3 linked regions of the Nothobranchius furzeri genome follow. The protein of the gene in region 1 purifies or fractionates together with the protein of each later gene. This does not show direct contact. Links are inferred from orthologs where the notes say so. Each region holds a gene or a part of one and is shown in the gene's direction. Other genes may lie near its edges.

The links.
Region 2: the proteins of sigmar1 (region 1) and npc1 purify together in Homo sapiens (affinity purification with mass spectrometry; 3 studies listed by BioGRID and IntAct, with this or other methods). This does not show direct contact. The link is inferred for Nothobranchius furzeri from reciprocal best matches to the Homo sapiens genes SIGMAR1 and NPC1.
Region 3: the proteins of sigmar1 (region 1) and rnf185 purify together in Homo sapiens (affinity purification with mass spectrometry; 3 studies listed by BioGRID and IntAct, with this or other methods). This does not show direct contact. The link is inferred for Nothobranchius furzeri from reciprocal best matches to the Homo sapiens genes SIGMAR1 and RNF185.

The regions. Positions count from the first base shown.
Region 1 is NC_091746.1:43,713,308-43,717,636, reverse strand, and holds the start of sigmar1 (sigma non-opioid intracellular receptor 1), read left to right. Parts: upstream 1-1,456; 5' UTR 1,457-1,624; coding exon 1,625-1,769; intron 1,770-1,898; coding exon 1,899-1,950; intron 1,951-3,075; coding exon 3,076-3,224; intron 3,225-3,409; coding exon 3,410-3,502; intron 3,503-3,599; coding exon 3,600-3,829; 3' UTR 3,830-4,329. Other genes in the region: galt (galactose-1-phosphate uridylyltransferase), read right to left, coding at 1-127, 1,100-1,136. UniProt on the Homo sapiens protein: Functions in lipid transport from the endoplasmic reticulum and is involved in a wide array of cellular functions probably through regulation of the biogenesis of lipid microdomains at the plasma membrane.
Region 2 is NC_091751.1:48,786,650-48,790,260, forward strand, and holds part of npc1 (NPC intracellular cholesterol transporter 1), read left to right. Parts: intron 1-374; coding exon 375-502; intron 503-3,333; coding exon 3,334-3,468; intron 3,469-3,549; coding exon 3,550-3,611. UniProt on the Homo sapiens protein: Intracellular cholesterol transporter which acts in concert with NPC2 and plays an important role in the egress of cholesterol from the endosomal/lysosomal compartment.
Region 3 is NC_091746.1:52,069,746-52,074,073, reverse strand, and holds the start of rnf185 (E3 ubiquitin-protein ligase RNF185), read left to right. Parts: upstream 1-1,461; 5' UTR 1,462-1,555; exon of another isoform or gene 1,556-1,824; 5' UTR 1,825-1,885; coding exon 1,886-2,070; intron 2,071-2,909; coding exon 2,910-2,928; intron 2,929-3,016; coding exon 3,017-3,129; intron 3,130-3,254; coding exon 3,255-3,309; intron 3,310-3,624; coding exon 3,625-3,742; intron 3,743-3,826; coding exon 3,827-3,924; 3' UTR 3,925-4,328. UniProt on the Homo sapiens protein: E3 ubiquitin-protein ligase that regulates selective mitochondrial autophagy by mediating 'Lys-63'-linked polyubiquitination of BNIP1.

The DNA.
Region 1 (4,329 bases):
GGATCGTGTCTAGGGATCTGCTCTTGCGGAGGTTTTTCCATCTGACCAGCCCAGGGTCTCTTCATCCGGTGGGCCGAGACCAGGACCCAGCTGTCTCGCAGTGGGTTGTAACGCAGATGCTGGTGCTCTGGTGTTTACAGGACATGGAGTATCACCAAAAAAGATGTTAAAAACATTGCTAGGGCTTTTTATTTCTTTGTCTTTTTTTCCTTGTGTAAAATCCCATCATAAAGTATTCTTCAATTATCAGTGAGCTTCGTTTTAACAACACTAATGTTTCATATCAGACGCTTTAGGATTCCTACTTTTCACAAGACAGGTGACCCATTCAAATCAGATGTTATGAAGCCAAGGAGCCTCTAAAAAGGGCAGAAGAGTGTAATATTTGAGTAAAAATTACAAAACATCTCTTTTTGTTAAACAGTTTTTTTATTATTTGGTGCAAAAAGCAGAAAGTTGGTATCAACTTTTGATCATCATGCACACAGCCCCACTACATTGTCATTGGACATTGTCATTGTCCAATCTTGGTCCTACAAGGACCACAAGGACCACCATCCTGCATATTTTAGGAGTTTCATGGCTTCATAACATCTGATTTCAATGGATGGATAATTAGCAGGCCTTTGCACAATTTGATGACAAACAACAGTAGCATCAACCACTTAGGGTGTGCTGGAGCAGGGAAGCTAAAGCAAGCTTGGTACTGCCAAAGTTTACTGAATAGTCAGCAAACCCTTACCGTCTTTGGTATTCTGACTTATCGTACCTCACTTCAATTATTGTCATCTCTCAACATTACTAAGCCAATAAGAAATAAACTACAAAGAAAGCATCAAAATGACGCTGAAGTACTAGCGTGGCTACAAGTGCAGCTGTAAACTCAGCAGGAATTCAGATCACATGATTCACAGCTGGATATTTACAGGAAAATAAACGGCAGGTTTCAGCTATGAATAATTCAACCTAAATTTCACAAACTTGCATAAATAACAAGAGTACGTTTGGAAATGCAACAACTGTAAACCTGTTTTTAAACCTAATTTCTTTCAGAAAGAATAAAGTGAACTGCTACAAAAAGAAAAGGAGACACACGTACCGCTGGGGTCGAAACTAACACTCTGGTAGCCACTCATGATACGGTACTATTTAAAACCTGTAAGTTAAATCAAGTAAGCATCAGCTGGTTCCGAATGTCGATGGTTCCGAACTTTAGCTCAACTGATACCCTTAGCCCACTTCCTGTTGTCGGACGAAAGACAAAACATGCCATTCGTGTCTAATCAGGATTTTAGAATAAGCTTTTAAAAACAGATATAAATTACTAAGTTTTAATGTATATTACTTACTATGTTTTAATGCATTTTACATAATATTTATTAAATATACTTAATAAGAATAACGTCAAATATAAACTTTAATTGAATTATTTTCCAGATTTTAGTGTGTACTGGCAACCCGACAGCCGCTAATATATTCAACAAACAAAGTCCGTGATTGGCTGATCGGCGGTCCTCATGACCACGTGACCAGAAACATCTCCTAGTTTAGCAACCTGCTTCTGTTCTGCCTCGTTTAATTCATGTAGCTAAACTTGCTGCTAGGTGTTCGTTTGTCTGTAGCCATGTCGTTTGTCAGAGCGATTTTAAGACTATTTGCAGTCGCTACAGTCGCCGTCCTGGTCGTGCTGTTGCTACGGTACTGGATGGCCACCAAGACGTATGTTTTCAACAAAGAAGACATCGCCAAGTTGGCGAAGCAATACGCGGGTGAGTTTGGAAGTTTGACGTTTTTGTAGACCACTCGTGCTCTAGTAGTCTAATGATCAATTTACTTTTCCTAAAATTGTTTTCAGCTCACTTTCGTCAGTGTCTTCATTCAATTGTGTTTATTCCCAGGGCAAGACCATGAGCAGGCGTTCTCCAAAGTGGTATTGGAGCTCAGAAAGAGGTGATTTTGCTTCAGCATGTTTTCAGACACAAACCAAGGTGATCCGGAAAAAATACTTGTTGTTTTAGTCAGAATAAGAATAATAGACTAATTTTAGCCATTTTCTAACTAGTTCATCATATTGGGCTCTCCACTGCTAAACTTACGACTGTGCATGCGTTGATTATAAGTTAAATCGTTTCATTTTCACCTATACTTTTAATGTGTCGAAAGGCCGTACAATCAGTTCGTTCACGTTGAACACTACTGTATTGTGCAAGTTCACACTTTGAAGAAGCCAGGTCAGCAGTTCACAGATGTTTGTGTTCATAGTTCATCCAGAACACGTTCTGAACTAAATGCAATGTTCCGAAATGAATCCTTATTCATTTACCAGTAATAAGATAAATTAGATTTAAAATACATTCAGAAAGATGGCATGCATTTGGATTATGGTATTCTATCGGCTATTTAATCATAATAATAGTAATAAAACTATAACAAAGTATATGTATTTGTTTAGGGTTTTTTTCTTCCATCTGTAATAGGTGCAATTCTAAAAGTCAGGAATCAGATCAGACTCTTGCGTAGAGATTAAGTTCCTGGTGCCTCGTTTAAACTAGAGCCATGTCCAAGATTAAACGTGTGGCTCCAGATCAGATTCTGCTGCAGAGAAAAAATAAAAGACTGGTGAAGAAAGCTGAAGGATTATAATCTAGATGCTTCTCTCGGGTTATTAGTCCTGAACATAACAGCATCATAAGGCATCCAAATCTTCAATAAAACAGCTCTCACACTGGTTTCAGTTTTTGTTGTGGGGGAAAATAAAAATGTTCAGAAATGTTCTAGTGAACGCAGCTCATTAAGACTACAGTCTTCTAACCAAACCTCCATTCATGCATACTTGTGCTGTTAGTTCAGCTATAATTTTCAGGTAAGTCAGAATTGCTGCAGTCTTCCTAAGTTTTTGTTTTTTCTCCAGACTGCCACCACAGACAAGTCCCCACACGCTTAGGAGCCCTCAGATGCTTGATTGCATTTATTTGAATGCCCGTTGGTGCACTCCACTGATCTCTATGATAAGTTTTTTTTTTTTCATATAGAAACAAGGATGCATTGATGACTAATAAGTCGTATCTAAACCAGGTATCCAGGCCACATTCTGCCTGATGAAGACTTGCAGTGGGTGTTTGTGAATGCTGGAGGATGGATGGGCTCCATGTGTCTCCTCCATGCCTCGCTCACTGAGTATTTACTACTGTTTGGTACTGCTGTGGACACAGGAGGACACTCAGGTACAGGAGGATCATATATTTGTGAATGAACTCACTAATTTTAAAGCCGGCACTCAAACTTTTTATTCATTCAGATTTTTATATGATGGAAACAAGCCCTTTGATACAACTGAGGGTCTAGAAATAAATTTCTTTTACTAAATTTAGTAAAATTGACTCGTGTCCTCTCCCCCTGGTTCTTCCAGGTCGATATTGGGCTGAAATATCTGACACTATCATCTCCGGCACATTCCGGCAGTGGAAGGAGGGGACTACTAAGAGTGAAATCTACTATCCAGGTAGTAAAGTAACTCGTTTTAACATGTAGTTGTCCATTTTTATATTAATTATTTGTTTTTTAATCAGTGTGTTTTTGTCTCCCTCTTACTTCCACAGGTGACTTCATTGTTCATGAAGTGGGAGAAGCTACATCAGTCCAGTGGAGCGCTGGGACTTGGATGGTGGAGTACGGAAGAGGTTTCATTCCCTCGACTCTTGGCTTTGCTCTTGCAGACACTCTGTTCAGCACCCAGGACTTTGTCACCATGTTCCACACCATACATATTTACACAAAGGCTCTGCTGCTCGAGGCCGCTACGCTCCTCACAGAGGCTGGAGTTTTCTGAAGGCTGGTGGAGGACCAGAGGCTCGCACATGGACTCAAAAGCTCCTCCTCGACTAAAATCTGGAACGAGGAGACACTCCACCTGTAGTTCAGACAATCATATTAGCAGCTAATGTTGTCCTCATTAAAAATCTGTCCTCTGTAAAGGAGGAACACAGTTCTTGTCTCAACAGGAGCGGTGAGAATTCAAACAGGTTTATCTAATTTATACAAATCACAGACGTCCAACTTTTCATTCAGGTTCAAAACCCCAGAGGTTAGCAATGAGACTGTGCACTTTACTTTGCTCAGTAAGTATTCTGAGGGCTTAGACTGCCTCCATAGTCACCAAGGTCTTCAATGTATTTAAAAAAATAATACACCTGATATTAGAATCTGGCTTAAAATAAATACCCTAGGCCTTACAGCTTCTGTGGTCAGTGTGAGATTATTCTGAGAATAACTTGGTTTATGCAACCAAAGGTGGAAACATGTTAGTTTTCAGCAACTTTCACAAGAAAA
Region 2 (3,611 bases), on another chromosome or scaffold:
TTTGATAACAATAATATTCAGGTAAGTGAGTCCATTTAAACAAAGAGAAGAAAATACAAGTGGTGAAATTTTTTCAGTATCATTGGTCATTTCTGATGTTTTCCTCTTTAAATAAACTCACACGCAGGTTGGATCACTTCCTCTTCCCTGTCACAGCAGGTGTGCACTGATATAATTAAAAACATGCTGTTTATAACAACACGTTGCAGAGCAATCAGCAGCAGAATGTTGTGCATTCATGCAACAGTCAGAATTTTGGTTTAAAGCTTTATTTATAATTATTTACAGGGAGAATTCACACATCTGGCAGATGAACGACCTGCTGTTTTCTGCTGAGCCAGAAGCTGATGTACTTCTTTATTTTTATCTTCCAGGTGCCTTGTCCAACATGCCTGCAGTGAGGACATTCTCCCTGTTTGCTGGCTTGGCCGTTTTTATTGATTTCCTGTTGCAGATCAGCTGCTTTGTCAGTTTGCTCGGCATGGATGCCAAAAGACAGGAGGTGAGATGGAGGCAGGGACACTCAGTGGGATTATTCAGCATAAGATCGAACTGTTATCACCTCTTAATAACTTTGTGTTAATTTAGGAGTATAAATAACATGCACTACACAAGAAAAAAATCTTTTCCCTATCAAATAATTTCTACAATAAGAACAGGCAACAATATCTATTTAAAATATTCTCAGACGGTCAGCTCTGATGACATCCACAGGCAGTCGTGGTGATGATTATAAACTTCCAACACCTTGTCACCCCTGCTGCTCCGTATTACGATGCTCTGCTGCAGTCCTCCTCATCAAGGTGACACCAAACACTGTTTTTTCCACATCTGAACTCAACACAATAATCCTGCTCTGCTGTATCTTCACCTGGGGCCTGATTATAAAGCTTGCTTATGAACAAAATGGGGTCTGAAAACTGCGTGATTTTCCATGCAAACTTTCTGTTCTTTGAAAAAAAAACTTGATGGAAAGATGTGCTTAACTTTAAGCAAACTTTTGACCCGGCAGGAGCACATTTGGGAGATAGTGAGATGGTAAAATGTTTTTTTTTTTCACCCCTTCTTTCCACTTCCAAGTTAAAGTTGGAATATGGAATATTTTGATAAAATGCTATATTTAAAAAAATACCACGACGTGGCATTTAGAGGTGTGTAGAATGTCCAGTTTCTGCTTTAAAAGGTATATTTAAAAAAATAATAATAAAAATGTTATTTTGAGGGGCACAACACTAGGTTTATGCTTACATCTACCAGTCAACAGGGGGCAGCGTTGCAGTAAAAAGTTGGCTTGGCAAGGCAGGCTGGGACTGTGTATAATGGCGGGCCAAACAGCTGATTCTGAGCCCAGAAGATGTTCTAACGGTAAATAGTGTTACAAAGTTAACATATTAGTAGAAATAAGTCTTTACCCTGTACGATTCATCACTGGACATGGTCCTGGCTGGTCACGTGTCAGCAGTGAACCAATACCCTAACAGCTGGTAAATGTGTTCTGTTGTTGCACTACTACCTCCTAACACTAGATGTCGCTATAGTGTCCATGCTCCATATTCAACCTTTAAAGCATCGCAAATCATACACGGAATGTACTACGCAGAAATTAGCCGCCGTTCTAGTGAATGCGTTCCTTTCCACCGACACCAAATGATGACGTTTTGGACGCGCCCCAGAAGCGAAGGGACACATCATTATGTTTCGAGTCTATTTACAAAACACGTCAAACTCCACAGTGTAGGTTACACCAGACTGGATGTCAAACACAAAAGCTGTGCAAAACATCCAGAAACTTTCAAAATAAAAGTCACATGCAGGTAAACTTACGTCATTTTCTGTTTAAACCCCCGTAGCCGATGTAAACAGAGCAGAAAATAAACCAGACCTTTTTGATGCATGCAGCTGTCTTTCTCCTTGCTTTTTATTGTGGGTGAACTTCTGAAATCACGCGTGGTGTTGCAATTCTCATGTGATTTTGTGACGCCAGCTTTGTGGAACGCTTTCGCTCTCGTTTCACATCTGAAACGCTCCCAGTTGGGAATGAGCTCATGGGTAAAACGCCTCTATTACGTTAGATGCCACCTTCACGTCCAGTGAACAGAAGTGGTCAGGCCTTTCGCACGCACACACAAAACCAAAAAGAAGACCCCCTCCATCTCTGAATTGAGAATAAAAATTATATCAGTGATTAAAATACATTACTTTCATGTGTCGTTAAATAACTTATTGGTGCATTAATTGTGTCGTACGTGACCGCACACCTGTGATTCACACTATAATTTAAAACGTCACTGTAGTGAACCGGGCAGAGGTGCAGCTGTCGGAGTTTCCATAAACAGGAGTTCTGACAACACCAGTTCGTTCCAGCAGGTATCAGCTGATATTTGTTCAATATTTCCTGCCTAGAGCCCTTTGGGCTAAATTAAATGTTTTCCTTAAATGTTCCACTTGGATCTGGAAAAGACAGTGACCCCTCCCTATGCACCATAGTGCTGCTTTTATTGATGATGTCAATGATTGTTGCCATCTTAAGCTCCATCTGACCACTTCTTTAAATATTTTTATTTATTGGCATCCGCTGATCGCTCCGTGGCTCCAAAGTTCCGCTGTAGCAGCGCGGTGTCGCTAAATCAAATCAAAGATACTTTTTTAACCCCAGAGGGAAATTAGAGGGAATAAAACACTTTTTCCATGTATAAGCGACACCCCAGACCGTGGAAATCTTTCTTGGTTGTCATGGTTGCACGTGAGCACATTTCTAAGACAGGTGTGATTTATAAAGCAGAACCACTGAGTTAGAAAAGCCACACAGCTCAAGAGAAATTTTTCATTCATGGCGTCGCCCACTGTGGCTTGTGATCGTGGAAATGAGAGCAGAGTGTGTTTGGGTTAGTAGAAGCTAACCATTAGCATTAGCAATTCCACAACATTTTGAAAGAGTTACGCATAAAAGAAAATCAAACAACTTCAACGGAAGAGCTACTTGCTTTTAGCCAATCAGAGGTGAGATGTTTGCATATTTTGAATCAAAATCCTGCCGTTTTCCATCCAAACTTACTCCAAATAACTTCTACTTCCTGAAACTGGAGCACCAAAGTCAAAACGACTCACAAAGCATTCATTCATTCATTCATTCATTCATACTTGAGCCCACATCAGGTTTGTTAATAAAAATGGGTGAATGAGAGCTTTTAACGTGGACACTAGAAACCTGCTTGGCCCTCTTGGATTTTATTCATTTATTTATTTATCTACCTGATCACAGCTGGTTGTCGTTGTAGCGTGAGGACAATGTTTATACTTGTTGAACATTGTGCGGTGGGTTGTGTTTTAAAGGAGAACCGGCTAGACGTCTGCTGGTGTGTGAAGCTGCCTGAACGTTACGAAGTCAAGACGGATGGCTTCCTCTTCCGGTTTTTCAAGAAAGTCTACGCTCCGTTCATCCTGAAGGAGTGGGTTCGACCCGTCGTCGTGAGTGAACCAGTCCTGCTTTAGCAGCCATGTGAATAAACCAAATCAGTGTTTCTGATCAGCTGACACTTTTGTCCACAGGTGGCGGTGTTTGTGGGGATGCTGTCTTTCAGCATCGCTGTGGTGAATAAAGTGGAAATTGG
Region 3 (4,328 bases), about 8.4 Mb from region 1:
AAAAAAAGAATGTGGCAGCATTTATGATGATTTATTTATAATTAATGTTATAAATCGTAAATTAATAATTTACTAACAAAAATAGATTGTGCCTTTGATTTGTGTATCTGTTTTCATAGAAATAGAAAAGAAACAACCAACTGTGATTGCTGTTGCTTTATGGGTGCGATGGATCAGCAAAAATTACTTTTTAGACATAGTGTCGAAATAAAATTTGTGATTTTTTAAAAATAAGCCTTACCTACAATAAACATTTACAATGATGAAATTTAACTCATAGAAAAAAATTAAAAAATACCAAATATGGGTTGTGCCTATACGTGAGGATTTATTTTTCTCAGCTTTGGGATTTGTGTAACATCTTTCATGAAAATAACTTGGTTTTTGCTTAGAAACAATACTGACATATTTAAAATAGTCAATAAACATGAATTTTAAAAATTAAAAACTAAGTTAAATAGAATATGCAAAATTCTGAGTTTAAGGTGCACATCAGTTTCTGCTCAAAATGGGTTAAATCATTCCAGAATATCCAAAAGAAATTCTCAAAAAAGCTGATTTAAAGTTTCATTCTTGATACGACAAAAGGAGCAAAGAAGGTAAAACCCTTATTTGTTTTATTTAAATTTTATGACTGAATTAACAATATACCATCTAGCAACTAGGGCTGCATGATAGAATAGATTGCGATATCGGCATGTGCAAAACACGTATCACAATGAACAGAAAACATCACAATAAATGGTCAGCTCAAATGCTTGCTACACATAATGCATTTTGTCAATCAAACAGAAGCATATGTTTTTGACAGATCAAATAGAGCCTTACCTATTTGGCATATCGGGTGGATTCTATAGGTTAGATGCCTGCCCCCTAGGCGGACGACACTTGACTTTGATGGCTAACATACAAGTTAGCTTTGTTTTGCTCTTTCTGCTGATTTAGCTTTTCCCAGGATCTACTGATTGCCTTGTCTTATTAGTTGTCTTTTCCTTTTTCCTCACATCTTTTGATCACAATTTTTGCTTTGCCCATTTTCTATATTTTTCTATTTCGTTGTATTTTTTATTTTTATTTATTTATTTTTGTTTATTTCTAGTCATATCATCATGGAGATATTAATCGCTGTTATCGCGCATTGCAGGTTTTCCTAATATCGTGCAACAGTACTAGCTACATGTTTCTGGGATACCCCCGTATGTACAGTCTATGGATACCCCTCAGACAAACATTATCTTGGCGCATAAGCAAAAAATCACTCTTATAGAAGGAATTAAACATCAGTCTACAACCAACTTCTTCACAAACCTATGTCAGAAACAATAAATTCCATAATTATGAGAAGACATTGTTTGTGCAACATTCTCCATCACAAGAGTAACTATTAGTAAGTTTTTTGTTTTTGTGTATCTACTTTTCTTTACGTCACTAATCCGGACACAAGGTAACCCCACCCCCTTTAGAAATAGCCACGCCTTTTAAAGAAACAGCCACGTTTTTTTTTAGTCCTACTCTTTTTTAGGGCTAACACCCTGCGGAAGTGTTGCAACCAGCTGTAAGGCTATTTTCGCAACAAGTCATAATTAAGTTTTAATGAGGCTATGTTACAAAATGTATGTTGAAATATTCCTTTAGCCACTGTAATAATTGTATATGTGGTTCGGTTTACGCCTCAGTTCGTTTAGCCTTTCTCCTAGCTTGCTAGCTGCTAACGGTAGCATAGCTATCAGATGACACAAAGTTAGCTTTTCCTTTCTTTTATTCAGGTTTCTTAGTGGGAGACCACTTCTGTCAGTTCCTGTCACTTTCTTATGTGTTTGACAGGAACGAACAGAGCCATCCCAACCGTATTAGCTTGAATATTGGACCGACTTTTAGCAAATAAATGGCCGCCGCTGCCCCCTCTCCACCAGTCTCTGGCTCCACCGTCTCGGCTCCTGAAAACTCCGGCCCGGGATCCAGTAGCTCGGCAGCGGCCGACGGAGGCAGCCAGGACAGCACCTTTGAATGCAACATATGCCTGGACACAGCGAAGGATGCCGTGATCAGCTTGTGTGGCCACCTTTTCTGGTAAGATTTAAATATGTTACTTATGTTTACATTGTGAAATCAGAAACCACCTCAGTTTTAGCGGCTGGACACAAGTGAACTAAACTCAGCAGTACAGCATGAACCAAAATGTTGTCTCCGGTTTTACCACTTCAATTAAACTGTGCGGAAAAAACAGTTTTAAGTTCTACCAGGTCTGTCTAAGAAGAAAGTATCATTTCTATAGCGCCTCTCAAGATAAAAATCACGAGGCGCCTATGAGCCATTTATATTCCTAACATCAATAATAAAAATACTTATTTCACAGTTTGCTTCAGCAAAAATGTTTGAAGATTGCACGAGAATACAGTTTCACTATTGTTTTTAGTGTTTTTCATTTTATATGACTAATCAGAAAAAGTTTACATTTTTTTAAAGTTCTGGAACATCTAATTAATCCTCTTATTTTGTCAAATAAAGTGGCAGTTGCCAATTTACTAGCTGATTAGGTAACTTATCTGTTTTCTTTTAGCTGATGTTTTTGTGAAATCCTTGAATCTCTTTCAAAACAACATTTTAGTCATTTTTATGTCCAAAAATTTGCTGATGAATTAGCAGCCAAAGTGGTCTGATCAGTGTTCATACAAAGTAATTATTTGTTAATTTTCTCTTAAATGTTATCCAGTATGTTTGAATTAGTATGAAATATTCAAGTAGAATTAGTGTTTATTTTTATTGTCCTTAATTGGGGTTTTTTTGACAAGCAGTTTATCTAATGTTTGTTTTCATGAATATTTTCCAATGTGGTTTTTTTTTTTTTACTAATCCTGTTTTTTTTTTTTTTTTCACTTCCATGAACTTCATTTGCTCCTGATGTTCAGCTGGCCATGTTTGCATCAGGTAAGCCTGACTTAGATTTTTTTTCATTTACAAAGATGTTCCCCTAGCTAACCCGTTGACTCGTTAACATCCGTTTATCTTCATGCAGTGGTTGGAGACTCGACCCAACAGACAAGTGTGTCCGGTGTGTAAAGCTGGCATCAGCCGGGACAAAGTAATCCCCTTGTATGGGAGGGGAAGCACGGGTCAACAGGATCCTAGGTAGATGCTAAAAAGTGTTGACATGATTTATTGTGTCATCACACTTCTACATTAACACACTTGTGGTGCAAGAATTATCATTATGTTAGTGTTTTACGGTGTATATCTGATTTGATGCTTCAAAGGGAAAGGACGCCCCCTCGACCACAAGGACAGAGACCAGAGCCGGAAAACCGTGGTGTAAGTACACAAACAAATACATCTGCACAGTTAAACCATCATTGTGAATAACTACATTAAGTTTCGTGTAAGCTCTAGAGTATTATAATGAGCTCATGATGAAACCGTGAGTCAAAAATGATGTAGGTGCTGCCGTTTAGACCTGTTTTATTCATGACTGAAAAGCCATTTCCCTCTGGGACCCATTACTAGTGAACAGCTGAGATAAAGCCCCTCATGAGAATCACTACAACTTTTACTGCTCATTGTGTCACACTTTTTTTTTCTTACTTTGTTATATGACACGTTTTCATTTTTTTCTAAAAATCCCTGCAGGGATTTCAGGGATTTGGCTTCGGAGATGGAGGTTTCCAGATGTCCTTTGGAATCGGTGCCTTCCCGTTCGGTATTTTTGCCACGGCTTTTAACATCAATGATGGACGACCTCCTCCAGGTGGTTACACATTTCCTCTGTGTTCTTTCATTTCTTATGAAAACAATTTACCCAGTAACTTCTGTTGAACTTTCACCCACACAGCAGCTCCTGGGACGCCGCAGCACACAGATGAACAGTTCCTGTCTCGACTCTTTCTGTTTGCTGCTCTGGTCATTATGTTTTGGCTGCTGATTGCATAAATGCATGGGGGGAAATGACAGAAGTGCGGCTTTGTGAGGTTTCCGTCTCTTAATCTTTGGCAAAGTTTGGACATTTAAACAGCAGGTATGATAAATGAACAGGCTAAAGGTTAAAGCTGCAGACTTTTTGCTGCTCCGAAGGAAAAAATGCATGTGAAGATCGGGAAGTTGTGTATTCTCTTCACTTCTTGCTGCAAAAATCTCAGAAATGAATTAATGAAAAAAATATATATTTTGACTCACTGGTTGAATAACTACTTTGTAATCTGCACAAGAGCAACCAGACACTGACTTGTGAATCTTCAGCTATTTATTGTGAAGCAAAAATAATTTTTTGCACAAAACTTTAATGCAACTTAATGATTCTAATGATTAAGATGTTTGTTTCCTGGAGAAATGACCAA